Linked DNA regions of Drosophila melanogaster. The protein of the gene in region 1 interacts with the protein of each later gene in a pairwise test. Each region holds a gene or a part of one and is shown in the gene's direction. Other genes may lie near its edges.

The links.
Region 2: the proteins of beag (region 1) and CG17230 interact in a two-hybrid assay, tested with the Drosophila melanogaster proteins (one large-scale study listed by BioGRID).

Annotation. Positions count from the first base shown.
Region 1 is NT_033777.3:9,062,389-9,078,383, reverse strand, and holds beag (beag), read left to right. Parts: upstream 1-13,305; 5' UTR 13,306-13,394; coding exon 13,395-14,978; intron 14,979-15,043; coding exon 15,044-15,133; 3' UTR 15,134-15,252; downstream 15,253-15,995. Other genes in the region: pum (pumilio), read left to right, coding at 5,355-6,632, 6,709-6,877, 6,947-7,439; Ada (adenosine deaminase), read right to left, coding at 12,132-13,145.
Region 2 is NT_033777.3:11,431,495-11,448,298, forward strand, and holds the start of CG17230 (uncharacterized protein), read left to right. Parts: upstream 1-6,290; 5' UTR 6,291-6,386; coding exon of another isoform or gene 6,387-6,587; 5' UTR 6,588-6,605; intron 6,606-6,648; coding exon of another isoform or gene 6,649-6,871; intron 6,872-6,929; coding exon of another isoform or gene 6,930-7,192; intron 7,193-7,285; coding exon of another isoform or gene 7,286-7,393; intron 7,394-8,390; coding exon of another isoform or gene 8,391-9,141; intron 9,142-9,401; coding exon of another isoform or gene 9,402-9,491; intron 9,492-9,628; coding exon of another isoform or gene 9,629-9,752; intron 9,753-10,697; exon of another isoform or gene 10,698-10,812; intron 10,813-14,362; exon of another isoform or gene 14,363-14,500; intron 14,501-15,624; coding exon of another isoform or gene 15,625-16,672; exon of another isoform or gene 16,673-16,804. Other genes in the region: CG5276 (uncharacterized protein), read left to right, coding at 485-1,446, 1,501-1,798; Exd2 (exonuclease 3'-5' domain-containing 2), read right to left, coding at 2,062-2,470, 2,678-3,805, 3,868-4,082; CG5281 (uncharacterized protein), read left to right, coding at 4,686-5,729; sals (sarcomere length short), read right to left, coding at 6,387-6,587, 6,649-6,871, 6,930-7,192, 7,286-7,393, 8,391-9,141, 9,402-9,491, 9,629-9,752, 15,625-16,672.

The DNA of each region.
Region 1 (15,995 bases):
TTACTCATATTTAATTTTACTAACTTTCAATAGCTAATACGCTGTGCACACTCATTATTCTAGGTATCCAGAAGTGCAAAGTTTGTCCATGAGTTTGGGACCCAAAAACTACCAGTTTGCAATAGAATACTTGCCAGCTCTAGAAGGAAAATGTTGGCGATGGCTTATCTTTGTTGTTGCTGAGCAGTTGTTGTATATTTATAGAATTTCAAATTACATTTATTAACTACAGCTAGGCAACAAAAGTGTGCATTCAAACTTTAAGATACTCAAATTTTTCACAAATTATTCAAAGGATTTTCAATTACGTAGAATTTGTTTAACTTGTTTTCGATTTATAAACATAAACGACTGCAGCTTACGGAACGCGTTAACATTCCTTAAAACAGAAAGTTCATACACACCAGTACGGACACATCAGACGTGGACAGCTCCATTAACTCCATTAACAATCAGGCGAAATCAATTATTACGCTTTCCACCTAACGGTTTTTATTTCCCGACCGCATGCAAAAACGCTCTTTCCATTAACGGAACGAATTTCCCGGACTATGGCAGTCGAATCCCGTCCATCCGCCTGACGGTCGGGAGCTGGCATTATTATGTCGTTAATTCATTTTGCCTCATATGGCAGTTTAATGAAGTTTCCAGTTTTCTCTTCTTTTGCACACTGTTGTTCCACATGACGTATGAGTGATTACGTATTTTATATATTTTTCGTTTTTTTTTTTCTTTTTTTGTTTTACACACTGCTTTTATCACTGAAATTGTTTTCAACGTTGCAATTTTAAGCACGGACTTTAAGAGCTGCGATCTGCAAAAGTCCTCAGGTTAAGTAATCCATTTCGAATTTCGAGTGGCTGGGGAAAACTCAATCGAACGCAATCCGTTCTCGAGACCGCAAGTCAAGCCCTGACATGCTTTGCCCCGAGCACCGTGATGATGCCAGGTGATTAGGCTAAGGGTCTCTCGAGTAGTGTGCCACATTCGCAGATCCACATGCCGCACTACTACCAATTTGGATTAGTTGCACTGAGGGAAAAGCGTGCGGATCATAAGACAAGTTGCCTATTAAATTGTGGAAGGAAAGAATGCTCTATGCGCTAATATTTATTTGAATATTTGATTATATTTGAAATTGATCGTTTATACATTTGCAAATGTAAAACCATTAGTTCGATGGCATTTTTGGCCCGAGTGTAACCATTTCCACTTGCACATTCGCATCTCAATTACAATTAGCACATGGCGCCCACAGTTTGTCCTCCGCTGGCACAAATCCCCACTAACAAGTGCAGGCGGCATGTTAGCCAGGCAGGAGGCCACCTCATCATCAGCAGCCCACTCATTATGTTGTGCAATCGATGCTGTACATTGAACACCCTTGTTACCCTCTTTCTAGCCGACTATCTGTCTGTCTGCCTGTCTGACTGTCTCTGACTGTGTGCAATGTCAAAAAGGCTTTTTAATGGAGATTATATTGTTTTAAGTGGCTGACTGAAGCAGAACAGATTGGGACGGGGAGGTGGGGGGGGGGGGTTGGGGTTGGGGTTTGTAAGCAGAGACACGGGCCCAGGGTGGCAAGTTGGATATCAGTTGAACGAATCCCCTTCTGCGTCAGAGACAAGCTGCAATTACAAATGTTAATGCGCCTTGGCCGGGGCCAAAGAAGGGGGTGGGATGTGACTACTGGGTTCCAGGACCAGGCCAGGATTGCAAAAGAAGGGGCGGTGGAGCAGAGGCTGAAGCAGAAAGCAGCTTGACTTTGCAACCGCCATACCCATTTTGGGTATTGCCTTGAAAACAATGGGGGCAGCACAGAAGCGGCAGCAGCAGCAGCAACAGCAGAAGCAATAGCAGCAGGAACATCCTCCCTTTGCCTGCTAAATTATTATGTACACCTTTCGCATGTTGGCAACATGTGATTGCATCACACAGGGGTGCTGGAAAAGTGAAAGGCCTCGCCAACCAAGCCAACCCATCGAATGCAGCGCCCAGCCAACGAAACCACTCTGCATACAATGCAGTACATTGTTCGTCCTGCCAGCCAGCTGCTTTATCCTTTAGCTCCCTGCTCCTCCTCCTCCCTTCTGCGGCAGCCTTTTGTGCAAATGAATTCGTTTATTTTGTAAAATGTCAATTGCTATGCTGGCTTACAGGGCGGAGGAGCAGCAGGGACATCCTGCTTGGATCACATGCAGCACACGGATGACACTTGCTGCGGTGTCGGGAGGTGTTGGCGTGGCGGTCGTGTGTGCACTTTACGCTTAATGAAAGTCTCAATGATGTGTGCCACACGGCGTATGCGTAACTCAAATCAAATTGTATTGCTGCACAGATCGATGTAACAGTGCCAATCTACAAGAACTCTTGTTAATTAAAACACGTTAGTTGTGTAGCTGCATAAAACTTAATTATATTAAAACTTAATTGTAATTACAGCTTTAGATATGTATAAATTATCTTTATGAAGATTGATATTTGCACTGGAATCGAAGTTTAACTGCATAAAGGCAAACTTTTATCTGTCTACGACAGTTGCTGGAATTTAATTGCCAGCTCACAGTTAAAAGTTCTTGCATTAAACGGGGAAATCCCGAGTGAAATGCTTAGTTTAATGACAGCCAGCGGGGCAAGGCGGCAAAAGTTTGTAATTCTTGCATTTAAATTGCAACTAATTTGGCGCCTCTCTACTTCGCCGAAATTGCAGAAGGGGACTGACTAAATTTCAAATACAGACGGCGGAAAAACACAAACAATTTGCATCGAGGAAAGTGTTTTTGGTGGGAGTGGGGGAGTTTTCCACTACGACTGCGCCTGGCGTATGCTTTCCATCTGTTTATTTTATTTCCTGGCCATGCGTTTGCCTGGTATGGTTTTGGGTTTCGGTTAGGTGCGTGTAGTTGCACAATTTAAAAGGGAATTATTCATGCAATTTGTGCGGGGCGAAATGCTGCCAACCGCCCCCCAGCGGTGTGGTGGGTGTTTCGTGTTGGATGGGGGATGCTGGGCGCGCATTTGGCAGTGTATATGGGGCCAGTCTTGCCACTCCCCACTCCCCACTCCCATCCACTAATTCAGGGCCTGCCCGACGACCGTCTGTCTCAGCTCAAATCAGCTTAGAGTGGGAGCAGCCCTCCATTTGGGAGACACTTTGCCAAATGAAACTGCAGTGTACACTCAACCAAAACTTGGTTAGCATCATTCAGTTGTAAATTCCAATGTGTTAAGATTTAATATTGTATAAAGATCTGAATACCTGTCAAGTAAGAAAGGTGAGAGTAGTCATTTATTTTTGTGTTGTTTACGAACTCATTCAAATTTCGAACTCATATATTTCTCGCAGTGCATGTGGAACCATGGCTGCTTCTGATGTGGGCGGTGGGTGGCATTAAAAGACGCCAAGTTTATTGCATGCGACATTCTGTGGTTTATGCACACGTTCCGCAAATAGAAAGAGAGCGACCGAGTGGCGCGAAGGAGACGGCACTAGACGCGAGAGACGACACTTTGCCGCTCGTCCTTGGCTTAATGTAATGATTTTATGAATTATAAATGCACACACGTGCACATTATGCACACGTTCCACTCACTCCTATTTCCGTCTCCACAAGGTGGTGATGGGGGGTGGGGAGGTCATTTAAATGTCAGGAGGAAGGTCGTCAGCGGGCGGGGCTGGAAAACTATTCTCGGCTCGGGCAACTTTGTAAGCGCTGTTAAGTAGGCTATGAAAAAACGGTTTAAGGGGCATTATATGAAATGTAATTAGTGCTAAAGAGCTGCTTCAAAGTAACGGAAACAGAGCCGCGCTTTAATTGCTCAAGAATTGCAGCGGATTTTTAAACGTCCCATTATCCTTAAAGCCTAAAGTGATTACTTAAGGAAATAACAAAGCGGTAGGATATTCGGTTTGCAGGCTCAACGTAAAGTAGTTATTATTAACAGAGCTAAGCCACTTAAGTAAAATCGATCATTTAACTTTAAAGTTGAAGTAGTTACATACAATTTCCACGAAAATTGAGACATTTTACCCAAGTTACTTTAACTATCGATTTCTTCGTTACACTACACACCTGCTAACACTGCTCCACTTTAGTTTTCAGAAACAAACACCAACATTGTGTATTATTTACCAGCCCCATTCCGCAACTTTCAACAAATTGCTTAATAACTCGGTCAACAAATTGCGCACACTGTGTTGACATTAACAACATTCGCCTCGCCTTGTCCTTTAACCCTGTTTTCCACACGCCCCGGAAAACCCATGAGTGGTTCAGAACCACCCAATCCCTTATTCACCTGCAACCAGCTGGAAATTTCGCAACCCTTTCGCGCAGCCTTTGTTGCACTAGTTGCTAAATAACTTAATGTGTCCTGGCCACGCTTATGGCGTATTTTCCGCCCTCTCAATATAAATTTGAGCAATTAATCTGCAGTTGGCTCTTACGGACACCAAAGTGCAACAGAATGTGGCAGATTGTGAAAGGAATTTATTATGACCGAGGGGTTTTGCAGGCTGAACTTTCGCTTTTCGCTGAGTCGCACATTTCCGGATCATTGGTCGCAGGGAATTGAGAGACTCAGCCTGTAAATCCCTCCCCTCAACGTCTCGCTTTCCATTCCCTCTGTACTTTCTCCACTTTCGCCGCTTAGATGGCAAATCAAATGCGAGTGACAGATTACGACATCAATCAAGTTGGCACCGTCTTTCGCCCAGCTACATCCACTCGCTGTGGCCGCCCACTTGTATCCTTTTACATATTCTCGTAGATTGCAGGCTGCCTCATGTGCGCGCACCATTAATGCTGTACATTATGGCTTACAGAGATAGATGTCCGCGGGCGGGGGTGGGATGGAAAGAGAGAGAGAGAGAGGGATGTGTATCGTCTGCACTGCAAATGCCAAATGGCTAAGTGACTAAAACTAAGCCAACAGCTGCGCCTCGAAGCGGGCAATTAAGTTTTACAGGCGCATCAAAGCCGCCTCCTCGCTTCTCTCGATTAATTACGGAGCGACATTGGTGACCGACTGGAAAGGATAATGGCACAGTTGCGTCAGAGTTTTATATCTGGGACCACTTCGAGTTTATATCCCGCCCAAGGCTGTAAGCTGGATGGATGAAACCGGGTTTCGATTTTCCATTTGCCGATTGATTGTCACTGCGGCGGTTGAGTGATGCTATTTGCTGCACTGGGTGGTGCTAAACTATGCAACTAACATGATTAAGTTCACATTGATGTACCTTACTTTTATCTTTCAACTTTGAGTCCTGCCATAAAATCGTGCATTCTCCTCTATACCTTTCCAAATAGCTTATCATTAACTAATGCATTTTTTCTTTGCACTTTTTGCAGGCCTCGCCTTGAACACGAGCTCGTTGACGGGTCGCCGCGACTCCTTCGACCGCAGCACCTCCGCCTTCAGTCCCTCGACCATGGACTACACCAGCAGCGGTGTGGCAGCGGCCGCCAATGCGGTGAACAGCACAGTGGCCCAGGCAGCAGCAGCTGCCGCAGCAGCCGCCGCAGCGCGTGGCAAGTGGCCGGGAGCGATGTCGGGAGCGGCCAGTGGAGCCTACGGAGCCCTGGGAGCGGGCAATGCTTCGGCCAGTCCCCTGGGCGCACCAATCACGCCGCCGCCATCGGCGCAATCCTGTCTCCTGGGCAGTCGGGCACCTGGAGCCGAGTCCCGCCAGCGGCAGCAGCAACAACAGCAGCTGGCCGCCGTTGGTCTGCCGGCGACTGCAGCAGCTGCTCAGGCAGCGGTGGCCGCGGCTGCCAACAATATGTTCGGATCCAACAGCTCGATCTTCTCGAATCCCCTGGCCATTCCGGGTACCGCAGCTGTGGCAGCTGCAGCGGCAGCAGCAGCGGCCGCCAACTCGCGTCAGGTGGCTGCCACGGCAGCGGCAGCAGCGGCGGTGGCAGCAGCAGCCGGCGGAGTGGGAGGTGCCCCACAGCCAGGAAGATCTCGCCTTCTCGAAGATTTCCGCAACCAGCGGTATCCAAATCTTCAGCTACGCGATCTCGCTAACCACATTGTGGAGTTCTCACAGGATCAGCACGGCTCGCGGTTTATCCAACAGAAGTTGGAGCGGGCCACCGCCGCCGAGAAGCAAATGGTGTTCAGCGAGATCCTGGCGGCAGCCTATAGCCTGATGACCGATGTCTTTGGCAACTATGTCATCCAGAAGTTCTTTGAGTTCGGCACTCCCGAGCAGAAGAACACGCTGGGCATGCAGGTCAAGGGTCATGTGCTGCAGCTGGCGCTGCAAATGTATGGCTGCCGAGTGATTCAGAAGGCTCTGGAGAGCATCTCGCCGGAGCAGCAGCAGGAAATCGTCCACGAACTGGACGGACATGTGCTGAAATGCGTCAAGGATCAGAATGGCAATCATGTGGTGCAAAAGTGCATTGAGTGCGTGGACCCCGTGGCGCTGCAGTTCATCATCAATGCTTTCAAGGGTCAGGTTTACTCGCTAAGCACCCATCCGTATGGATGCCGGGTGATCCAGAGAATCCTTGAGCATTGCACTGCCGAACAGACCACGCCCATTTTGGACGAACTGCATGAGCACACCGAACAGTTGATTCAGGACCAATATGGCAACTATGTTATTCAGCATGTGCTTGGTAAGCTATCACTTGATAATTTAACATGTATTCCTTATAGCTGATACATCATCTTACCTTCATATTTGATTTATAGAACACGGCAAGCAGGAGGATAAGTCGATTCTTATCAACAGCGTGCGCGGCAAAGTTCTGGTGCTATCACAGCACAAGTTCGCCTCAAACGTTGTGGAGAAATGTGTTACCCATGCCACTCGCGGAGAACGCACTGGTCTCATAGACGAGGTCTGCACCTTCAACGACAAGTGAGTGCCCGCACGGAAATTGAATCCTTCTTAGCTTTAACTTAACCAAAACTCATTTTCCCTCCGCAGCGCGTTGCACGTGATGATGAAGGATCAGTATGCCAACTATGTGGTCCAAAAAATGATCGATGTATCGGAGCCGACGCAGCTCAAGAAGCTGATGACCAAGATCCGGCCCCACATGGCCGCCTTGCGCAAGTACACCTACGGCAAGCACATCAATGCCAAGTTGGAGAAGTACTACATGAAGATAACCAATCCCATTACGGTGGGCACAGGAGCTGGAGGAGTGCCGGCAGCCTCGTCGGCGGCGGCAGTCAGCAGTGGTGCCACCTCGGCATCGGTAACCGCCTGCACCAGTGGCAGCAGCACCACCACGACCAGCACTACCAACAGCCTGGCCTCACCCACCATTTGTTCGGTGCAGGAGAACGGCAGCGCCATGGTTGTGGAGCCCTCCTCCCCGGACGCCTCCGAGTCCTCGTCCTCGGTGGTGTCAGGCGCTGTCAACAGCAGCTTGGGTCCCATTGGACCCCCGACCAACGGCAACGTTGTGCTGTAAAGGAAATAACAAATTAAGCCAGGCAGTCAAAGGAAACTTCCTTCTCGAATCGCAGTATAGTTTTTAGAAGCTGTAGAGCTTAACATAAACAACAAGTACATATAAATGTAATCTTATTTATTGGAAAAGCAGCGATAAATGGAGCTGCACTCGAAGATTTGCAAAGAGGATAGTAAAACACACATGCGCCAATCTAGAGAAACAAATAGCAAACAAAGAAGCACACTGGCAAGCAAAAAAGCAAAAGAGCTTAACAGCTAAAACTAAAAGAAATTTGTATTTTTACGAACAAAACTAATAACGTTCTCATGAAAAAAGATTTCAAAATATTTGTAAAATGCGCTCGCATAATTAATTTGTAAAAAAAAGGCATGAACCGCAAAGATGAAAGAAAACAAAAATGCGTAGTAAATCGCGATCAAGAAAAAATAATGAATGTAATGTAAAATGTCAATGAAACAGATTTGTCTGCGTACATTTTCGTTGTAACTTTGTATAAATTAATTATTATATAGCAAGTCTATCTGTAAATGATTAATGTTTCGACTGTAAATTAATAAGAAGACAACTGAAGAGCCGGCGAGCTGAAAAAAAAGAAAGTAAAAAGAGCGGGCTGCATGAATTAGCCTACGATTTATAAGTTCAGACAGAGGAACCATTTCTAATATACAAACATATATACGAGGGATAACAGCAGAAGCCGCACTTAGTGTAGAATGTAGAGTAATAATGTTTTTGGAGCCAGCAGCTACAAAGACACAATGAAAACAGAGACACACGAGACACGCCCACGCCCCCTCACGCACACTCGGTTGCATACACCCACACAATGAACGACTCTTCAGCCCATTCACGTTGCTTTTGCACTATGTAAAAATTTTGTATAAAAAAAAACCCCAAACAACAAACCATGTAAACCATGTAATTTTCAAATGTTTCACTGTAAAATGTATACATACTTTATTTTGTAAATTTTTTTTAAGTCGCAAGTAACTCATACATATTCTATTCTAAACCTCACGCATGTATTTATAATTTTATACACATTAGCTGGTGACCACCGATCGACGATCTGCATGGATATTGGTCAGCTGGTGGCCAGCTAAAAGAACCTGTTAGCCAAGTAAGCCAAAAATGATAATAATTGGATTTTAAAACAATAACCATCAAAATAAACCAATTTTTTTCAAAATTTTCCGAGACCCTTTTATGTTTGCTAGCCCACCTTAATGTATGATATATGTATATGTATATTTAAATCGACACTATGCTTTCGCAACTGCACACTGAACGAAATCAGGTGGAGAGTTAACTTTGTTATGTTAGACAGAAAGCGCTTGTTGCTCCCTGCGAAGCTTGAAATGCATTCGCTGTGCGGCATACTAAATAATTAACCAACCCTTCCTTCACGTAAGTGTATAAAATTGTTTTAAAACGTCATCGAAACACTTGTAAATTGCAAACAAAAACTGTATATGTATACATACGAACGAATATTGTAAAAAGTAACAATACCAAGAATTTTGTACATTTTTGATATAAATTTAGATTACTTCGCGACGCCTTATTCCAAATACTAAAATACTGAAAATAATGAAAACGAGAGATGGTAAGAAAATCGAATTTAGACTTTTTTGTCGGTTTCGTCGAAACACACAAAAATCCAATGTAAAACAATTTTTGGAGATCAATGTAAAGTGTATTATGCATATTTTTGTACACACAAATTCGTTGTCGTGTCGTTGTTGTTGTCGTCGTCACCGTCGTCGTTGTCGTTGTCGTATTTTGTATATAACAAGCAAAGGATACCAGTCATTGAACATTTGTAATTTTCTGTACATTTCCCCCCAACACACCCATCCCATTAACCATTAATCATTCACTATTTACCATTACCCCTAATCCATCCCATTGAACATGACCACATTGCAACATCCGTATTATCCTGTCTCTGAACAAGTGAGCGCATTTCAAGCGACAGCGCAAGCAGGGCTCGGTATTATTTGTTTGGTACTTTTAGTTATTAACTTGTCAACTGCCTGTCTCTAGAGCGCAATGCACTGATAATTTTAATTTAAATAATCCATAGATGAACATTGTATTTAGGATTCTCGAGTTCGATACGGAGTGAACAATGCAAGTAGAGATGCTTTCTGTAGGCTAAACACATTGCTACACGCCGTGTACATTTGACGTGTAAAATACACCGAACACCCACACTCACACCGACACGAACACCAACACATCTACACACCCACACAGACACAAAGGACACAGCGAGCTGCTTAGCTGTAGTAGTTAGTGTAAGCCAGCGAATCCCTATAAATATTTAAACATATATACACGCATATAGAATTATGTACTACACTTAGTTTTGAACTTGACGTGAGGCAAACGTTTTTTAAAAAAGAAAAATAATGTATATGTAAAATACATGTGTAGAGTAGCGGAAGTGCCGTGGCACAGTGAAATTTACACGTATGCTGGCGTATTCTACACACGCCCAGTTTTTACAGTAACAATTTTTTGCACGCATGTAAGACACTTGGGTATACAAGTCGAAATCTAAAAATCTAAAGCGAATTCCACTTAAAAAGGATCAATATTTAACAACCACAAATGTAAACAATAAAACTTAAAATGTACGAAAAACTCCCTGTAAACTTGTAATCGTATAAAGAAGCGAATTAAGCAAGCATTTCTTTGTATGCCAAAGGCAAAAACAAGTGGGTCATTTTGAATTTGCGAAATCAGAAAACCCTTCGGCTATTGGTTTGAAATTTTCGCAAACTAAAGTGTAAAAACAAAATAAAGCCCAATACGATAAAGCCCTATAGATAACCAAGATTTCAAGTAAATATAAAGCATACCGCAGAAGCAAAAATTTGTAAAATTTTTTCGACAGCAGAACCTTGTAAACTAAGCTAAGGACATAAATAAACCTTTTGTAATTTGTTGTAAAAAGAAAGGAAAGAATGAAAGAAGGAAGGATGGCGGAAATTAAAAGGCATGACATGTGCTAGAGCTGGCGTCAAGTAAAACTATAAATTATATATAAATATAAATATATATTAAAGCATATACATACATATAAATATAAATAAACAGTAATTAATTAATTACGATAATATTTTGTAGTTACACACTCGAACACACGGAGAAATTCAAATATACAAACACAGAGCGAGACCTTTAGTTTTGTAAACCGCGAGCGATTGGCACAAGTTAAATAACTACAATTTGGACAGCATTGCATTCGAGCATTTGATTTAACAATGCATTAGATTTTTATGTTTATTATTATTATACAAAATACGATTAATGCTAATTTCTTTGTGAAAAAAATAAAACAAGTTTATTATGTAGCAAAAAGAAAACGTTTTATTTCTCAATTCGAACCGATTTAATTGTCTCTTCCTCACACCAAAATGCACACATCCACACATAGTTTCAACTGATTGGCTTCAATGGAAGGCTGCGATGACTACAAAACTGAAATCAAAATTGATATTAATACGGCATGCAATTAACGAGAATAGCATTACATTGAAAATAAATATAGATAAATAATATACACGTACCATAACCTCTATAGCCCTTCCAAATCTGCAGAAAATGGCACAACAACCAAAAATGAAAGCGCAAGTTCGAGGCATTTTATACGGCGCATTTTTTATATATGAGCAGGCTAGCTGTCTATATGATATTACCCAAAAATGGTCGACTTTTATAAATGAGCCAGTAAGTAAACAAGACATATTTTTTTATAAGCCTTGGCAAGCTAAACTTTTACCAGGCCGTACATTTTAAAAAAAATTATACATACTTAAAAGCAAGAATACTAAAACCCTATGCCCGAACTCCTAAATAAAGTCGAATACAACAGCAAAATCCATACCATACCATTTTCAACTAGTAGAATTTTTCCAAAGTGTAGAAATGTAAACCTTTATATAAATATATAGATTTGTAATTGAACTCTCTAGTTGAGGTAAAAACACTTCTATACAATATAAATAAACTCCCAAGTCGGTCGTTTCTTGAAGCTCGACATTTGGAATGAACTGGATAAAGTAGTAAAACTCATGTAGAAACACAGCAGTAAGCTAAAACCAAACTAAAAGTATAAAATATAGATAAACTGTATATAGGGAATACCAGGCAGGCAAACCACTTCAACTGAAAGCTAATCTGCAGGCTTGGGTAGGTGGAGGGTCCGACTATAAAGATGTCTTCACCCAAAAAGTTTGTTTCAAAATGTGCTATTAAACTACAGATTTCGATCATTTAAGTCTTACTTTGGTTTCCTTAGATTTCGATCGTCCACTTCACTTGGTGCAGTTTAAGAGCCCACTATTGACCAAAGCTTGTACTCCATTGTATTTTGAATGCCTACCCCCAAACTAAGCCACACAGAACGGCAGAAACGAGAACATAAAGTAATGAACAGAAAACTTGAATTCAATTATGAATGATATTAAATGAGAAAAACATAAAAACTTATTAGCCACATATGTACGTACGAAGGATGAACATAACTAATGAACAAACTTGTAACTAAATACTTCTACATATTGAATAAAAAGAATGATATTAAAAGGTAAAATTTTTGACAAATAAGAATCAGGTTGGTACATATATGGTGTTACATACAAAAACTTATTTATTTCAATTAGGGCAGTGACAGTTTTTTTATTTGACCAATATGTCTGCGTAGTTCCCCACCCTATCCGCCATCTGTATTTGCTCCTGTTCGCTGGCGAATGAATGATGCACTGCCTCCAAGGTCAAATCGATGCATTGTTCACGGGTTAGACCGAAAGTTTCCGCAGCAATCAGAAACTCCTTTGTCAAAGTGGTATCAAAAACGCCACTGTCGTCCGTGCAGATAACCTTGGGTGCATCTGCCTCCATGATTCTTTTCAAGTGGTGCTCCTCCAAGCTGGGCACTGTTCCCGACTTAACATTACTAGTGAGGCAGCATTCAATGGCAATATTTCGTTGTTTAAGCTGCCCAATGTCCTCGGGAGTAAGAAAAGTTCCATGTCCACAGCGGGACATTCCAAAGTGCAGCATTTCCTTTACCTCCGATGGATTCTCGATCTCGGCGCAGTGTATAGCTAACTTCAGACCCTTATCCCGGGCCTGTGCAAGAATAGGAGCAAAGTCGGAAAACCGCCCCTTCCCTGGATTACCGCTAAGATCGATGCCTAAGATAAGATTTGGATGAGCCCGTGCCAACTCCACAGCCAGGGAAACTGTTTCCTCAGCCACGTCCACTGGTTCCGCTCGATTGATGGAGGGCAGTAGCTTGACTGTTATCTCTGGATACGTTTCGCTAGCTGCCTTAATTGCATCGATCACGATCTGCAGGTAGTCCCTGCGTGAATAGTTCTCGTTTGCCTTAGGAGTGGTCCTCATTTCCACATACTGGACGTTGTCCTCAGCGAAATCTCGAATCGCCAACTCCGTGGCAAATCGCAGACCCTCCCGGGTGGAGGTCAACTCGTGCACAAATGCAAACTTCTCGAAGCATGCATCCATATCCTTTTCAAATCGGCTGAAGTGCGCGCACAACTTCAGGAAATCTTTACAAGAGGTTCCATACAATCGCTCGCCAAGATCACATAGGCTTTTGATGCCCAAGGAACCGTTGAGGTGAGCATGGAGCTCTACTTTGGGCAGACCTTTAAGAAACTGCTCCATTTGTAGTTTAACAATAATAACAATACATTATGAGAAACAGTGATGCTAAATGTGGAATCGATTTTCAAATATTCGTAATTATTCGGAAAAAACGCTAAAAACGCTAATCTTCCATCACTGTAAACATGTTATCGATTACAGTACGGAGAAAAATCAAAAACACAGCCAACCCTGGCAGGCAAAACCAAGAAGAAGCACAATTTGTAAATATAGATTTTCTCTGCGAGTTTTCTTCGAATTTTCTTCGCCATGTCGGATGCCCACTTGGAAGCACCGCCTTCGGTGCGACTAACCAACGATGACTTCCGCAAGCTGCTAGCGACGCCCCGAGCTCCTCCTCCTGGCTCCGGGACGAGCAGCACCTCCGCTGGAGGATCTCTGGCCACTGCTACCTTTGCCACGCCCTCCACCGCCCCCGGCACGACAGGATTGAGTGGCGAAAAGAAGAAGGGTCAGAGCAGCAGCGAGCGGAATGATCTGCGTCGCAAGAAAAAGAACTTCTATGCGGCGCTCAAGAAGCAGGAGGATGTGAAGCTGCAAGAGCTGTCCGAGAAGTACAGGGACCGAGCACGAGAACGACGCGATGGTGCCAATCCAGATTACGTGAACGTGAGCACGCCGGGACACGGAAGCAGCACCAATGCGTATCGAGCTGTAGCGCCAGATATGAAATCCGGAATCGATGCCCAGGAGCGAAGAAGACGTATCATTCAGGAGTCCAAGTTCTTGGGTGGAGACATCCAGCATACGCATTTGGTGAAGGGTCTTGATTACGCCCTTCTGCAAAAAGTGCGCTCCGAGCTGCACTCGAAGGAAGCGGAAGAGGAGGAGATTGCCGCCGCTGTGGCAAGGGAAAAGCTCGCCGAAGCAGCTGCCGCCGCTGAGCAATTGGAAGCGGAACGCCGCGAGTCGGAGGATATTAATGCAATCAATGGTGCACTAGCGCGCAATATTTACAATCTAGTGCAGGCAAGGCGTTCGAAAGAAGTTCCCCGCAATGAGCTATTTGCTCCAGGACGGATGGCCTATGTGATCGACCTGGATGACGAGCTAGGGGAGTCGGATATTCCAACCACACTGAAGCGCTCCAAGTTCGAGGTGCCGGTGTCACAAGAGGATGTTGCCACGCTGACCACCAATGACATTGTGATCAACAAGCTGTCCCAAATCCTGAGCTATCTACGTGCCGGTGGTCGCAACAAGAAGAACAAAAAGCGCGACAAGGACAAACCGCTGTTCTACGAAAAGGAGGTGGAAAATCTTCGTGGGTCGTCTAGCAATGGTGGCTCCAGTCGGCACGCCACCTCGTCCTCATCGAACATGGGAGGGAAATCAGCTCCCTTGGGCGATAATATCTACGACGATATAGGGGACTACCAACCTTCTGCCACGCGACCTGAGCGAAACCGCCAGGAGCAAGGCAAGTCCGCCCCGTCCTACTTTGGAGACGGCCCGCCGGAGGCATCAGAGGAGCCGATAATATCCAGTATTCCCCCGCCACCCAAGATATCGAAGGCCATGGCCGCACGGTTCGCTGAACCCGAGGGATACGCAGAATGCTATCCCGGGCTGGAGGAGATGAACGACGCCATCGACGACTCGGACGATGAGGTGGATTACACCAAGATGGATTTGGGCAATAAAAAGGGGCCCATTGGACGCTGGGACTTTGACACGCAGGAGGAGTACTCCGACTACATGAGCACGAAGGAGGCGCTGCCCAAGGCAGCCTTCCAGTACGGGGTCAAGATGCAGGACGGTCGCAAGACGCGCAAGAACAAGACGGAGAAGAACGAGAAGGCCGAGCTCGATAGGGAGTGGCAAAAGATTCAGGTATGTATATCCCAAAGGATTCGTCGATGATCAATACAAAATATTTATTTTTCTTTGCCATTTAGACAATCATTCAAAAGCGAAAACTGCCAAAGGACGGTGGAGGCGGCGGTGCTGGTGGCGATGAACCCGATTACAAATCCGCAAAGTACTAGAAATTCTTGAAACATTATTCTATATTTGTAATGTAATTCTGTAAAACATTAAATATAAGTATGCTCGTACTTGTATTAATCTTACATGCTCTCAAATATATTTTAGCAACGTTATCACTAATTTAACTGCTACTGGAGTTGGGAACTAAGGGGAGGGTCCTTAGGGAGCTTGGCAGGTTGACTTATCGACTATGTGCGGCAATAGCGCTGGTACAGTGGGATTCAGAACTGTAAGACCGCTGGCGCAACGCGAGTTTAATTTCCATCGAGTAAGGCCAAATGTTGGGGAACTTTAAAACGGGTTCGACAATCAAATAAAATCGATCTCTTTATTTTGCATTGCATTGCTCTTACAGTCCCGAAACGCACTGCTTGTGATTCTCAGTTGGTGTGCGAGCTGCATCTACTTAAGCTGGATGGGTGCACCTAGTGCTGCTCTCTAACATGTAACGTTTCCTGCATGCTTAGAAATATGACACTGATTAAATGTAATTACCTTCGCGGGAATGCTATTCTTAATCACTACGCTAAGTCCGAGTGTGAGGATGGTGGGGCGACTTGTATAAAATGGGTATCGGTAAAGTTTGTATCTTTCAGCTTCGGAAAACCGAAGCTCAGCCCTTTACACTGCCAAGAGTGGTTTGAGGAAATGGGGAAAACAAAGCCGGAAATGATTAAATAGTAGAATTTGTTTCTGGTTACCTAGCTTGAAAATATTGCAGCGATTTCCCACCTAAACATGTCATTAGAATTTATAAAAGTATTAAAACCGTAAAAATGGATTGATCTTCGATAAGAAGACATTTTTGAGATTCTCAAAAGGTATCGGAAAAACAGACCTGAACCTGAATATGACCTGAGC
Region 2 (16,804 bases), 2.4 Mb from region 1:
CAATTTACGACGGATAAATTACGAAAACAAAACAAATGCGCAAGCTGCTAGCACGTGTGCTGCTGAAGAAGAAGAAATATGAAAATGTATCGGCAGTCAGCAGTGCGACCAGTCACTGCTTATCGATAACACTGGCTAACATGGAAAATAGCTAGATGTAGACAAAAAATATCCAAGCAAGAAATACGTATAAATTGCAAGTGACTGCGATACCAGTTGACAGTTGTATTGTTTTGATAATTTCAATTACCTTCGGTCTTTGTCCAAATCATGTTTTTCCCAGTATGTTTACATTAACTTAAACTGAATTGTTGCACCTGTTTCTCGATAACATCGCATGCGCTCGCCAGTTTGCACCAGCTGTTGCGCCAGCTGATCGCCCGCTCATGCGCTGGTCACACCGCCAGCATCCAAACAAACAGAGCAGCAGACCAAGAAAATCGGACACATCACCGCGAACGAGATCTTGCTGACGTGCGACCAGATGCAGAGCCCTGCCTTCGCGTACCGGGAACACGCAGAACACTCGCCGCGCGCCATGTACATGCGCGACTGGCGATCGGCCCTGCGGACGCCCACGTACCGGATTGGGAATCGGACGGTGCGCTTTAACTATCACTTCGCCCTTCTGATTGTTTGCGCCTTCGTACTCGTCCTACTCTTCTACTTTGCGCGCCAGGGATCGCACTCCTCCTCCGACGGCTACTGGCTGCGCCGCAGTTACACGGATGCCCGGAGTCTGGACAATGGTGGTCCAGTGGTCCAGGCCTACAATGCCACATATCCGCTCACGTCACCCATGGTGCTGCGTGGCGGTGTGATAAACTACCGGATAGCCATGATTGCCGATCTGGACACCAGTTCCAAGGTGAGCAAGGGCGATGGGAGCAGCACGTGGCGTAGCTACCTGAAGAAGGGCTACCTTACCTACACGGTGGCCAGGTCAGAGATCCAGATTAGCTGGGATGACGGGGCGCCGATAGTCCTGGAATCAGCATTTGCCCTTAAGGGCCGCGGAATGGAGCTATCTGAGCTAGTCACCTTCAACGGGCGCCTGCTCACCTTCGACGACCGAACGGGTTTGATATACGAGATTGTGAATGACAAGCCCATTCCCTGGGTGATCCTGCTCGATGGAGACGGACACAGTGCCAAGGGCTTCAAGGCCGAATGGGCCACAGTGAAAGAGCAAACGCTGTATGTGGGCTCCATGGGCAAGGAGTGGACGACAAGTGCGGGTGATTTCGAGAACAATAACCCCATGTACGTAAAGGCCATCACTCCGTCCGGCGAGGTGAGGTCGCTCAACTGGGTGGACAATTTCAAGCAGTTGCGCCTGCAGTCGATGCAAATAACCTGGCCGGGCTACATGATCCACGAGAGTGGAACCTGGTCAGAGGAAAGGAATCGCTGGTTTTTCCTGCCTAGGCGGTGTTCGAAAGAGAAGTGAGTAAGCGTGTCAGCCTTTAAATCCTTAACTCATCGATCTATCTTTGAAAGATACAACGAAACCAAGGACGAGCACATGGGCTGCAATGTCCTGGTCTCCGCCGACGAAAGCTTCACCAACGTTGAGACTGTACGGCTCGATCCTGAAAATACAACGCCCACGCATGGTTTCTCTAGCTTTAAGTTCTTGCCCGGCACCGATGACTCAATAATCGTGGCTCTTAAGTCGGAGGAGTTGAATGGCAAGACGGCCACCTTCATCACAGCCTTCGATATTGCGGGCAAGACACTGCTGCCCGAAACGAGGATCGAGACGGACTACAAGTATGAGGGATTCGAGTTCATTTAGCTCGCCATTCCAAGCTACCGCACTCCACTCTACTTCGATCCAGGTGCTTCAGTTTTAAACGTGTACATATTGTATTATTGTCCCATACGGTAAGCTTTATATTTATAGTCACCTAGATTAGTCCAGAGATGCTCATCTGCCTCATGAACCGTGACTCCTTGTCCCGTCTTGTACCATAGCACAAAAAAAAATTTTAGTTTATTTTTATTAAAATTGAAATATAAAACGTACAAAGCCGGTGGCAAACTCAGAAAAGCCCTGCATCACGTTTCTTTAATCTTCGCATCCAATCCGGCCACCATAAGATCGGCTTTATCGATGCGACCCTCGCTGGCGCGAACTTCCAGTCGATCGGCATTGTGGTTGACATTCCAGAGTTCGGGCAAAAAGCGGGGCTGCATTGTGTGCAGAAAGTGCTGCCGCCATAAGCGCTCCAGCTCCACCAGGCCGCCGAAATGATCGCGATATTGCTGCACCACCCGCTCGCCATGCTGACAGTAGTCGGAGTTTTCTACGCGATATTCCACGCTGGCTGCTTGCCGCAGGAGATCTTCTGTGATGTCCGTTTGATCGGAGTAGTAATCGAGGAGAGTCTTTTCCATTTCGGCCTTCTTTGCAGCGGGTATTTTCGCGCCATGATGAAGTAGTGCCTTGCCAGCGGATTGGACTCGTCTGGAAATAATAAAATGCAATTCAGATTCATTGAGAACTCTATGGAGATTAATTTTATCATATATCAGGGTATGTTTTGGAAAGTTAGGTGATAAAAAAGAGGCAAAATATGTCTGGTAAGATAACTGATAAGGCAATCTACATTCCTCGCAATGTATAATTTACTTTTACTTTTAACTTAGTTCTGAAAATGTATGGCATACTTACTTGAGCTGCGGATCATCATGGTACTTGACAGATCCGTCTTCCTGCTTGAAAGGAGCTTCGCACTGCACGGCCAGTTTGCTGCGAACCCTTAGATCCGAGATGTTGCTTAGCTGGTGGCAGGTTGGGCACAGGAGCAGCACATCGTCGGAGGTGTGAGATTTCATGACCAATGGGAAATGCTTTCTGTATTCCCGCGGTACCACGTTCTTCCGAATGTACGCATCCCGGTCACCACACACCACGCACTGGTTTTTCTTGATTGTTTGATAGAAGCGCCCCACATCTCCGACCGCTCGACCCGCTGGCTCGAAGTTAAGGCGGACAGTGAAGGGCTCTTCGCTTATATGCGTGCCCAGATTTTGATTGAGATACCAGGACGCCTTGCGCCTGTCAATTGTACACAGGAGTTCGCCATCGGGCGCCTGCAGCAGGCAGTTATCGTAGAAGTCTTTGGTTCGGGTAGCTATTTGCCGGTACGGTTGCTTCTTGGGCACCCATTTATTGCTTTTGGATTGGGTGGAGCCCTTTGAACGAGTTACTCCGCTGCCGGACGGGTTGAGTGTGAAGCCTTTCGTGAAGTCCACGTCGAGAAAGGGTTCGAATTTGTTGTGCATGCTATTGTCGTCCAGTTGCCTTCGTTGCCAAAAGTGTTTTGGCTGCAGATCCCTGCACAATTTTTGATAAATGGCCACCGCCATAAGTGCGTCGTTGGCAGCGTAATCAAGCTGTTTTGGCTCCAAAGTCTTGGCCTCCCAGTTGGAGCAGGCCAGGCGCCAGTGCTTGTCCAGTGTATAGTTCAGGTGAGTTTTGGAGAGCTTTCCCAGTCCCTCAGGTTTGTGGCCTGCCATTACGCAGAGGAAGCGCAGATCCAGTGTGCTGGCCACGCCTACTCCATAGTCGTGCGAAAGTTTCATGGCATCCTCCTGGGGTGCCACGCCCACTTTGATCACGGAATCGTCCTCGAGAAGCTCCCGCAGATCCTGGGGTATTTGTTTCATATGGCACAGTCGGAATAAGGCACATAGACCCCGATGGGAGCTCAATTGGAGCAAGGCCACTGGCCTGCGGCTGCCGCCCACGGTGATCCACTCGCAATCGAATCCAAGGACTTTAAAAGTCTGGCAGTGACTAAGAGGCAGAATATATATATATATTTCCATTGTCGTGAAATTAAAGTGGTTTTTACTTACTTCTTCAGTTCATTCAAAACCCATTGCGTGGTCGGATCCTGGACGGAGTTGATCACTTCTATGCGTCGCTGGGGCACCAGGCTGCCGAAGGACCAGACGCGACGCAGTGGACACAGCAGTCGGTGCCTGTGCCGCACCAGGACGTATACCAAGCCAACTCCTGCGGCCAGAATCGCCCAATTTCTTTTGGTGGCGACTGCCGATTCCCGAGTCATTGTTCTCCTTTCGGAGTTCAGCAGCTGATTGGCTGGCCTGCCAACTTACGTTTTCACAAACCGTAAAAGCCGGTCTAAACAAGTTTCGGAATATTTATAACCGTAATTTGAATGTGCTATGCCAAAATAGTTTTACAGTTTTAATACATTTTAAGCAAAACTTGTTTCAAATCTTTTAAAAGTTCATAAAAATATATCGAAATAAAACCGTTAAACATGACGAGTCGTTTAAAAAGGTGGCATTGTTGGCTGGACTAAGATCTTCGGGGTGGCAATACTGGCCCACAGGGTTTTCCGGAATCTCCATTCGCGAAAAGAATTAAAAATGTTTAATTAAACGCAGTCGGAGCGTGCAAACAATGAATAAAACTCAGTGAAACTGGCGGCGGGGAAACGATGTGCCATTGAAAACGCAGAAAAGGCGGCAGCAGACAGTGACACAGCGCGTAAATAAGGAAGGCAATCGAAAGAAATCGATTTTTCAGGGCAGGTGGGCTACCATTAGACTCCCCACACTCATGCACACATATTGATGCAAATCCCATTTGCAGGATGCTGAAACTTTGAAGGAATCCAGAAACTGTAGAGAAGAAACCCCACAGAATGCCGGAAAACCTCGAGCTTCAGCAGTTCCAGGAGGGCGCCCCGCCCCCAGATCCCGCCCCCCGTTGGCTGGAGCGCTTGCAGCGACGATTGGGCGCCGATTGTCCCTACTTGGGTATCCTGCTGGCCACGCTCTCCTCGCTCTTCTTCTCCCTGTGCTCGGTGATTGTGAAGGGACTGGTGGACGTGAACCCCATGGAGCTGGCCTCGTTTCGATTCGTCGGAGTCCTGTTGCCGGCACTGCCCATCCTGATATACACGCGACAGCCGGTGTTTCCGGAGGGCAAGAGGGTGATACTGCTGCTGCGCTGCTTCATGGGCACAACGGGTCTGATGCTCAGCTTCTATGCCTTCCGACACATGCCCCTGGCCGATGCGAGTGTCATCATCTTCTCCACGCCCGTTTTCGTGGCCATATTTGCGCGTGCCTTCCTCAAGGAGCCGTGTACGCTGTTCAATGTCCTGACCATCAATATGACATTGCTCGGCGTGGTCCTCATCACGCGCCCACCCTTTGTGTTCGGTGACACGGCGGAGAGTGAGGATGTCGCTGGGAAGACGTACGACATCTGGGGACCAGTGGCCGCCATATCATCCACACTCTTCGGAGCCAATGTGTACATCCTGCTGCGGGCGCTCAAAAACCTGCACTTCTCCGTCATCATGACGAATTTCGGTACCATCGCTCTGGTCTACACACTGATCGTTTGCGCATCTATTGGAGCTGTGTGCTGGCCAAGCTGCGGACGGGATCGTTGGCTGGTCGTTGTACTGGGCGTATTCAGCTTCCTGGGCCAGATCCTGCTCACGCTATCGCTGCAGATCGAACAGGCCGGACCAGTGGCCATTGCTCGCTGCGCCGACATCGTCTTCGCCTTCGTCTGGCAGATGCTCTTCTTCGGAGAGACGCCCACCGCTTACTCGCTGGTGGGTGCGGTGATGGTGATGGGATCTGTGGTTCTGACGGCCCTGAAGAAATGGGCAGGCACCCTGCCACGCGAGTCGTCGCTGCGGAAGCGATTCAGGCTCATCCTGCTGGAATAGTGTGGTTCCAGAGCAACTAAAAGAGTTCGCGGTTTCTCCCTCGTCTTGTCACATCGTTCTCACCCAATCCCGGCAAGCATCAGTGGCCGGCAGCAAACCCGGTTCATTCATCGTAGACTCTACTTATATCAAGGCTCAGATCGTAGATTAATCAAAATATATAAGAAGGGACGCGTGATATCCACTCCACTCATAAGTAAATACTCGTAGTGCGTGTTTAGTTTAGCCAATTTCGCCGATTTGTTGTTTTGTACATTGTTATACATGCTTAAAATACGGTAATAAATACAACTTATGAATAAAATAAAAACAAGTTATAATTTGCATTTGAATTTCACGCTCTTCTACATGCAAATTTGCACTACATTTTTATATAATTCATTTAAATAGTTATAAATAAACAATAAAATTTCAAATCTACAGCGACACAACATTTTACATTACTTTGTAAAAATTCCGTTACATGTAGAATACAGACGGCGCGACATCGATACATACATCGACATCATACATCGATTGCAGAATTAATTTTACATCCACCTCTAGTTTTTCGTTTGTTTGTTTGTTTATTATTGTTTATGTTTATATTCTCGAAGCACACACACTCGAAAAAACAGAGCAAGGAACGGAAACAGAAACGGAAGACAAGCTGAGGGACTAGAAGCCCAAATCGGCAATAACCGCGTCCAGTTCGTCCTGCAGATTGGTGGCCCGCGATCGCACCTGCACAATTTGATCCTGCAAATTGTCGACGTTCGCCTGGAGCAGCACATTGCACTTCTTCATCGCCGCGAACCGGCTCTCGTGCTTCTTCACGCGCGGCTCCACATTCGCCTTCTTCGCGGAGTTGGGCGAGTCCTGCGGAATACGGTACAGGTGAGCTGGCTAAATAGTTTACGATTCTCTGGGGCTAACTCACCTCTGGCTCGGACTCGCTGCCCGTCTCCGCCTCACTTTCCTCCGATTCGGACTCCTCGGACTCGTCGTCGGATTCCTCCTCTTCTTCGCTGGCGTGCTCCTCCTCGGCCTCCTCTTCGTCCTCGTCCTTCTCCTCGCCGTCCACATCGTCTTCGTCTAGCTTCATGGAGGCAGCCATCTTCTGCACCTCCTTCTCCAGCTTCTTAAACTTCTTGTTCTCCTCCCTGTCATCCAGAGTTGTTTCCAGTTTAAGAACAATACTACATTACAATTTGTACTCACTTGAGGATACTCTGGTTCTTCTTCATGGCTTGCTTGAGGGCGTCCTTCTCCTTCTTGGCCGCCTCCTCTTTGACCTTCAGTTTGGTAAGCTTGCTACGCAGGATCTTGAGCTCCTTGCCAGAGCGACGCTCCCTGCGCTCCACCTTCTTCTCCTCCGGCTCGTCAGGATCGCTTTCGCTGACCTCAGGCTCCAGTTCCGGCGAGCTATCCCTTCCAAAGTTTGCATCGCTTGGTCGACGCGATCCGTCCAAGGATCCACCGCCCTGCAGCCGCAGTTAATGCAAAACGGAAAACGGGAAAGAAGGGATACACACATTGGATTAGTGAGGGCATCCTTGAGCGGGGCCTGATTTTACCTGATGCCGTGCTGCATGGTAGTGGTCGTAGTGGAAGCAATCGTCGTAGTCGTCGTCGTCGTAAGCAAAGCAATTACTAATGTGCGGTCTGTTAGTGCTTGGTGTCGCCTTTGCAAGAGAGCGTGAACGGGTTAATCGGTTAGTTGCCGCGGAGTGCAATAGCAAAGCTTTCAGGGGGATAGGAATCGGGACCGGACGTGTCCTAGACGGGTCATAACACCGCTTTGGTCTGGGCGGAAGCAGAATGCGGGTGGCGGGAGTCTTTCATGCAGCATGCGTCCGGCAGTTGGAGTTTAAGGTCGTCTACACACGAGATCTTCGGACATTGTTTATACCTCTCGTTTCGTTTTGATAAAGATTACATTTTTTAATGTCTACCATGGCATGGCCAGGTCCATTATTTGCTTAAAGAAAAATTCTGGAACCTTTTGAGCATTTCCCCAGAAACTTGATTTTGTTTTGTCTGGAATTGTGTGCAAGCAAACAGATAGCACAGGTAAGGGATGAAGGCACCTTACTTGAAAAGTATGGCTTCCGAAATTTAATACAAATTGAGCTTTGATAAAATATGGTCAGTTTTGAATTTCATTTTTCGCTTTCTCTTGATAATAATTTTACTATTCAACTTGTCTGATTCCTTCTCAACAGCAAGCTGTCTGCTGGCTTCAATCAGATTTCTGGTATTTTAAGTCTCGTGTGCAAACCGTTTTTAAGAAGGAAGAAAACAAGGTGTATCCACGGGTAATCCTTTCCCAGACCCATTCCACATTTGTGTCAAGTGTTGTCAGCTGATCTGTTTCTCTGGCTACAGTGGCTACTAGGGACAACTAACGAGGGATCTAAGGCGGAGTCTACGAATTGCGGTGGCTTCGTTAGCTGCTCCCGTCTACTTGCCGCCCTCAGCGGACGCAGCGAGGCGACGCCGGCGACACTAAAAACAAGAAAGAAGGACTAGCTTCGGAGTCCGATGCTTTGCATACCCTTGGAGATAGTTATGTTGTAAATGGTTGTAATCCAAAATCCTAATCTCAACTGACAACACTTTGAGCAGCATCCCATTACCTACATATACATATTACCGAACCCGTTCTGCAAAAGGAATTACCTGAAGAGCTGCTGCCAACTTGCGTTCGAGCAACTGAATCTGGCGGCGCTGCTCCTCGATCTCCGTCTTGGCCTCCACCAGCTGCTCGGCGGTGCTCTGATAGTTTTGCTCCACCTCCTTGGACACCTTCCGTGCGTCCTCTACCTCGCGCTTCAGGGAGTTGACGTAGGTCTGTTCGGCGGTGGGCGTAGGATCCATGGTGGCCACAATCACATTGGATCCGTACTCGAGATTCTTTTCGCGTGACTTCTCGCGTTCCAGTTCGGTCTCTAGGGTGCGGATTTTGGCCAGCAGCTTCTTGTTCTCGCGATCCTGCGCCTCACGGTTTCGCAACTCCAGTGCCAGCATTTGTTTGGTGCTCTGCAGATCGTCGCGGATCTTGTCGATGTCGTCCAGCTCGTCGGGGCTTTCCTCGTCGATGGACATAGCCGATACGATGCTGGGCCGGGATCCTCCGGCTCCCAAGGCCGTGGCACTGCCCGGTCCGAGTGCATGGCTGCTAGGCGCCTCGCTGAGCATGTTGATCTTCGACTGCGACTTCTGCAACTGCTCCTCGATGGTCATCTGTCGGCGGAACTTGCGCAGACCGTCCAGCACCGGCTTGCTGCGATCGTTGGTCTTCGTTGGCTTCAACTTGATGCCGCCCTGGATCTGCTTGAGCAGCTTGTTGTGCGAGTTGCCCTTCTCCGTCTCGTAGATGAACTTGTCGTCCAATTTGGTTATCGACTTGCACGTCAGGATGGGCTGAGATCTATTAGGATTTGAATTGTTATAAAAGAGATTTTTGAACATTTTCGTGCAGAGTTATCTATTATTTGGCTGCTGGTACTTCTGCACACTTAAAATTTAAGTAAAAGTCATTAACATTTGCCGGATAAAGTGGCGTAAACGCAGTAAGATGCTCTAGGTACTCTTTCCTGTGGCCTTAAATAACTTCAGTTTTCATTCCCTTTTTAATTATCGGGAGTATTGCAGTCGGTAATTACTGCACAGCATGCGGACACCACTCACCTATCGTTGCAGGCCACATGGCGCAGCTTCTTGCCGCTCTCCACCTCCTTCATCATCTCGGACCAGTCGGGGCGCCTTCGGGGTCGAGTCCTGCGAATCGAAGCGAATCGGAATTATGGCCATTCTGCGCCTTCAAGGTAAAAACTATCCCGATGCCAGGATATTCGGGTATGCAAGCACTGGCGGTGGTCAGGGTTCATGGGTCAGTCGTCGAGGTTTCCACTCACCTGAGCTTCTCGAGGGTCTCCTTCTGTGTGCTGCTGAGCACTCTCTTCTCACCGGGAGCTAGGGGCGGGGGCGGCGGTGGCGGGGCCTTGGGCACCAGCGAGGGCAGCGGCGGCGGGGCGGGAACTGCAACAATAAAACACGGAATGCACCCAAGTGGGCGGCGGTTATTCTCTGCCAAATGGTGGGTGGGGCACTCGCTGCAAGTGGTGCAAGTGGGCGCGAGGTTTGGTCGTTGGGCATTAGAGCAAATCGCCGGGCGCTGCGTGCACTCGCGGTTATTAAATATAATTTTAATTTAATGAGTTTGCAATTTGTTTCAGTTGTTTGTTGTTCTTTCGGCTCCCGGGGGGTTCCTTAGTCAACCCGCCAGAGGATTCGCCACCCCAGTATTTAGCTGTGCTTTGCGAGCAAAGTTGCACCATACATATCAATACAGGGCAAAGAGAATGGAATGGATGGCTTTACACTCCGAACATTAAGGGTTATTTATTCCTTTTCGGTTTTTGTTTTAAAAGGTTCTGACTCTATCAATTCCCCAATTGTATTAGTTTAAATCTATTTTCATCTTTTCAGCTAGTACATTTTAAATCACTTAAATGCCAATCTTAAGCATATCTAACATTTTCCTTACAAAACAGAGGACCCAAACTATTATGTCAGCTGGATTATACATTTTAGAGAATACATTTTGGGAATTGTCTAGTGTTTTGAAAAATGTCAGTTCATCATTTCGCCTTTTAGCCAAACACAATATGAATAGAAAAGGCTTATAGTCTGTTTATCTGAAGTTTCGCCTGGTGTATGGGGGGCTCCTAATAGAATGAGAGCCTAGACACATGGCTGTCTCTGTCGGAAGTTGCAGCAGAGATTGAAAAGTTAGTGCCTGCCTCCGTTGCGGCCTCCGCCTACGTTTCGTCCTCGTCCTCGTCCTGCTCCCCCGACACCGTCTTGTCGTGGAACGTGGACCTGGCTTTGATGGTGTTTTATTGCCTTAACACCATTCATTCGATTTCTTTGGGACTCATACACAGGCATGCATCAAGATGGGTTTCTTTCATAATTTTTTATCGAATACTTTGCATTCCTTCATGCTTTTTCCTTTCGGCTTGTTGTTCAAAAGTGTAAAAGTCAAACAACAAAAAGAAGAGAAAAACAATGAAGGCACCACCACCAGCACCATCACCATCACCATCACCAAGTGATGAAAAGCTGACAAATCTGTTAATTAGCTTTGTTTGAGTGAGTCCTGGCAGGAAGCAGGGGCAGGAGATTTGATGCCTTTTGGGTGGGACTGTGTTACCAAGGCCACAACCGCCAGGGCCTTATCCTTTGTCTGAGCTCCGGCTCCGGCTCCGGCTCCTTCTCCGTCTCCGGTTTAGTCTGCCTTCTCCTTTTTCGGTTTTCCAGTTTTTCGGTTTCTCGGTTGCGCCTGGCTGGATCTGCACTTAATCTTTAAGTGGTTGGCTGCCTTTTGCGGTGCATTAGTATCCGAAATACCTTCCGAAACCCCCTCGACCTGAGTGAAAAAGAGGTGGATAACTTGGCCAAACTGGAGAGGTAATGAAACTAATCCGAACTCGTGTTACTTTGCCGAATAAAATCAGAGCAAACGACCAACTTGATTATTGTCTAGAGCTGCTTCACCTCAAGCTACCGATCCTGCAGCTCCTCATGAATTTTCCCCCAATGTCTGCATGTTAATGAACTGCTTCCATGGGGGCAGAGAAGCTCTGATTAAAATACGTGGTCAACTTTTCGGACAGCCAATTGAGGACGCGTTTAGTGAGTTGCGCTCAATTCGGTTTAGTAATTTATGGACAAAAGCTCTCCCCCTAACCACTAAACCCGCCCTCGAATCCCTGGCAGTTATCCTAAATCAGTGGCAAACAAAAGTGGAAGCGGGCAAGAAACAAAAGAAAGCACAACAACATCACGCGAAGAGAAACGAGGCAAGGGTGCCGGGCAGATAAAAGTCTTCATTCATTCATGTCGACAAAATTATTTCTTATTTAAATAAAAAGCAAGCACTGCCACTGCCACGACTGAAGATGAAGAGCAGGAGCAGGTCCTGGTTCTCGGAGCTCCGAGTTGAGATGAGGCTACCCACTTAATATACCGCAAAGCCCGCACTTACGACGTCGCAGAATGAATAGCGGTGTATGTAAACATAAATTTTGCGAGCTCACTCTCGGTGAGGCATGGCACCCTCCTCATAAAGCCCCCTCCTGGCTCATTGTGTTATCATCAGCGGAATATTCTATGCATGCACAAATGTTGCCGTTGTCATTGAATCAACCCGGAGTGTGGAGTGTGGAGTGTCGGATCGGGTCTTCAAAAACTGGCGAACCCCAGGCAACTGGAGTGGGTGAGGGAAATCTGCTGCTGCTACAGGGTACTGGTTACTGCTTACTACTGGCTGGTTACTGGTTACTGGGAAGTGGAGTTCTGGTCATGGACTGCTGCCAGCCCAGCCGCCCGATGAGTGACTTCCCAGCTTCCAGGCTGTGCTCATTCATTGTCTGCCGGGGCATGATGAAGCACCGCTCAGCCAGCTCATATATTTCATGACACAGAATGGTAGGGAGTCGTTCCCCCAAAGCTCCTTTGTATGATTAGCGTTTCTGCCTTGGCCGGAACGCTGTGCGAAAGGGCTAACCAGGGATTACATGGGGCTTTTTGTAAACTATTTGGAACCCGATTAGCTCGGAAATGATGCTGTTGGTTTACCGCAAAATTCTAAGTATTTCTCTAGGATTTCACCTCGAAACCAAGTTCATTTTCCTCTCTATGAAGTGCAGCTTAAATTTATATATCTTTGGAAGCCGCTTTGGTATAAACGAATTCGGTAATGTTTTCCTTTCACAATCATTATTAACCCTAAAATAAATACAGCTCAAATTTCGAATTTAAAGCAAAGTTTTACATCTGAGGTTGTCCAATCCAACGATAATTCTGCTTTATATTGCAGCATTTGTGTAATATAAGCTGTAACGTTTTTATAAAATAAATTAGATATCATATTATTTTATTTGTTTATTTATTTTTGTTTACCGAATACTTTTGCTGTTTCCGCTGGACGGTAATCTTTATTTAATTTCCTTTGTGCCTCCGGAGACGAGCCTTAAGTCCAATTAGAAAATTCAATTTCAATTTGGATTTGTTGTGGCGTCGTTTGGGGGACACTAATCCAATTATGCAGTCAACCATTTCATTGTCGCCCAGTATAATTATGGCCAACAGCAATTGGCCAATATTAGCAAGTGTGTATATATATATATGTGTGTGTGTGCCACAGAACTTTGAACCATTTTCCTTTACGTCATTTTGACCACGCTACATCTAAATTTGAAAGAGCCTAATCATCTTTTATGCTTCACCGGGTAGGTCACACACAGAAAACCCAAAATGAAAATCACCCTCACCTATTGAAAGTCGACGTTTCTAATGACGGGCAGACCCTAGCCTTCACCACCACCAACACCACCCACCGCTTGACCCTGGAAACAAAAAAGAGCCAAGAGTTTCCCAAAAAAAGGAAGGAAATATGGGGCGCAGCCGTTACATGTCTCGCATCTACAGAGGGATACATAGAGATGAGGCTCATTTAAATAAAAGAAAATATTTTTCGTCCTGCCGCTGTTTGTCCTTTGAAGACATTCGAGCCTCTTAAGAGGGGAACTTGCGGCCAGCGCCGTCTTTTATTTCGTTTTGTTTTTTAGTGGCGGATATTTGAATATAAATGGCGCATTTAGTTAGACTCTATCAAGCTCATTCCCATATATCTTTGGCTGCTTTCGGCTCGGCCACATTCTCCCCCCCACGAGGATTCACTTCCAATTGGAGTCCGAGTTGCCTTTTATCATTCGATAGTTGCCAGTTTTTTCTTTTTTTTTTTTTTTGGGAATGAAACTTAAGAGACCAGGACGCTGGCCGGCCATGTCCTTGTGTCTCCTCACCATTGCTCATCTGGCTTTAAAACATTCTATTTTATGTTGTAGTTTTGACAGAATGAGCAATAATCATGAATTTTGTCTTAGACCATAAAAAAAGCCCACTCCACTGCGGACCCTTCCTCACAAGATTTCACCCGAACACATTAAATAAATGTTTCGCTCTCTTTTTTCCTAGTGTCCTTCTATGCTGCTCCCTTTTTTTGTTCGCTTCTGTTTGATAGGGTGACAGCTTTAAAACGGACGAACGATGCTCTGTTTTATTTTTGGCGGACATCGTTTTTTGGTCATTTTATTTAGTGACCTCTTTGGCCAGTCTCCGCCTCTTCGATCCTTTTGTTTGTCGGTCAAGATTAGGAGGCATTTGCGGTCACGTTATTGCCCACTGATTAGGTCGGGCACAAAAGGCAAGTTAACTGCCTCACACGTAGGCGTAGCGGTAGCGGTAGCCGTTGCCTTAGCCCTTTCACCCAAACCATTTGGCCAGATCCTAACGAGCTTTTCACTTCATTTTAGTTGACTGCCCCAGGGGAAAACTGGAGGCCTGGCCCACGGACACGGGCTTTCTGCAATTCAATTTTGAGGCCAGGTGACAGCATGCTTATGCAACATTTGGTTGCTTTGTTTTTTGAAAGTCTTGCCCCTGCCGACTTGCCGCCAATCGAGCCCAGCCTCGCGGCAGGAAAGTCCATTGCAGAATTACAACCTTCTTTAGTTGAGAGTGTGTGTCTGTGTGTGTGGCAATAAATACGGAATTAGAGAGGAACATTTGCTCCGGCATACCTTTGTGCTGTTATGTCGAACGCCCTTACCGACGAGCGGATGGATCCTCGCCGGAAAACGAGATGGTTGCCCAAATAAAACCCACTCGCAACTGCAGTCAGGCAGTGAAACACTTTGCGCCTCTTTCGGCTCAATGCACAACACCCACTAAAATTTAATAAATAAAAAATGATATTTATATTGCTTTATAGCCTTGTTTTTCCCACTGTTCGTTCCTTCGTTGTGCTCGTCCCTTGTCTGTGTGCGCTTTGTGGTTTTTGTTTGGGCGAAACATTTTGATGAAATATTTTTTACACATTCATTTCAAGTATATAAATTCCCATATTCCTCCCATACGAGTGTGTGCCTTCTGCATACAGACACTAGAATATCGTATATTTTCCTGCGTTTTTATAAATGAGCAGACAGCGATGGTTGTGAGCGACAGGTTACAGACATTGATGGCAGCGTGAAGCTGTATTGGCCGTTGGAAATTAAATCTTACAATGGAAATGGATATCTTGACCAAACTAGTTTCATATTTTTTGCTTAAATGCCCACTGGTTTTAATTGTTGTGTTTTTTATGGCGGAAGCATTAGCACGATAGCTATCCTTTTTAAAAGGCATCTCACATTCAGGAAATAACTGAATATTGCAGTGCGTCGGCTTTCATGGCGTATGAGTAATTTTTGTTAAAATGCATTAAACGGAATATATATTGAAAGCAATCACAATCTTTTGTGTAATTACAAAAGCACGTTTTTTAAAACAAATAAATATATATAAAATAAATATTATATAATAAAATATTACTCATACGCCCCGTACAACCCCTAAATGTTTGTTCAATCGTTAAGCTTATAAAAAATATTTACCAAAAATATCTTAACTGTGACACATCTAATCTTTTAAAAATATTCTCACGTTCCCATCCCAAATGCGAATTTTTTTTTGCACATATCGCTCATCCGCCATGGTGACGCATTATTTGTTTTGTTTGCTGCTCCCCTAGTGGTGGCCTTGCCTTTTGGCCAGGGCCGACGAAAATCGGAGAGGCAGAAAGCGTAAAAATATAAAATACATATCCCCACAGCCGCCCGCAACGTAAATTAAACATTTCTGGTTAGAAATTAGACATTAAAGAAGCAGGGGCAAAAATTTACAGCGCTTGTTGAGTCGATCCATTCGCAGAGGTTAATCGGGTTAATCCAGTCGGGCATCGGGTTAGGTTCCATCACTGGAGCTGGCTCCGGATCGGATCGATTTGGATCGGACAACTTACCGCTCTTGATGCTCGGCTCGCGCTTTATGGACGCTTTGCGTAGGGTCTTGGTCGTGAACTCGGGCTTTGGCTCCTCTTTCGGCTCCTTGAGGAGCTCATCGATCTTGGGTACCTTCTTGAGCACGGGCCGGATTTTGGCCAGGTCGTCGGTGCTCTTGCTGGGCAAAGGCTTCTCCTCGCGCTTGACATGCCGCAGCTTGGGCTTCTCTAATTTGAAACGTCGCCGCCGGTCGCGCTCCTCCTCCGTTTCGCCCTCCTCGGCCTCGTCGTCGTCTTCGGTGGCCATCTTTTTCAAGGACTTATCCCGCTTGACCACCACGCTGCGTAATTTGGGTTTCTCCATGGTAAAACGTTGGGTCAACTCACTTTCCGGTTCCGGCTTCTTGTTCACGGTGGTGGGTCGCAATTGGGCCGCCTTCTTCACGTGCTCGGGCACCTTCTCGTCCACGGTGGTGTCCTCTTCCTCGCTCTCCTCCTCTTCGGACTCGCTTTCCTCTTCGCTTTCCTCCTCCTCAGACTCGGTTTCCTCTTCGGTCTCTTCCTCCTCCTCGCTTTCTTCTTCCTCGGAGGAGGATTCGGGTGGTGGTGTCGGCTCCTTCTTCTTTTTGAGCGCTGAAGTGGTGGCTACTGGCTTCTTGGGCCCCACGGTGGGCGCCACTTTCTTGATTGGCTCCGGTGCTTTCTTGGTATTTACGGGTTCTGGTGTCTTCTTGGCCGCCGTTGTGCTTGTGGCCAGTGAAGATTTCTTTACAGGCTCTATCGTCTTCTTAGCCGGTTCAGGGGTCGAAGTCTTCCTCGCGGCTGCAGTCGTGGTAGCAGTTGCTTTTGGTTTGGCCACAGTCGGCTTTTCTCCATTTTCCTTTGTTGCCGGAGAGGCGGTCGTCGTCGTCGCTGTTTTCTTTGCCCACGGAGTGGCAGTGGGCTTTGTGGTACTGCTGGTGCCACTGGTGCCGCCGTCGTCCTTCACCCATGGCGGACGGAACGTGGTGCGTCCGCCGGGCGCACTGCTTGCACTGCTTGTCCCCGCACGGGGCGTCACAAACGGCATTTCGTAGTCGCTCGAACTGCTTGCGGTCCTCCGGACTATTCTAGACTATTCCCTCTGGTGGTTTATATTTTTTTCCAGTCTTATTGGTGTTAAATTCTCCAGGGCCCGATGTCGTCGCCCGTCTGTTCGCAC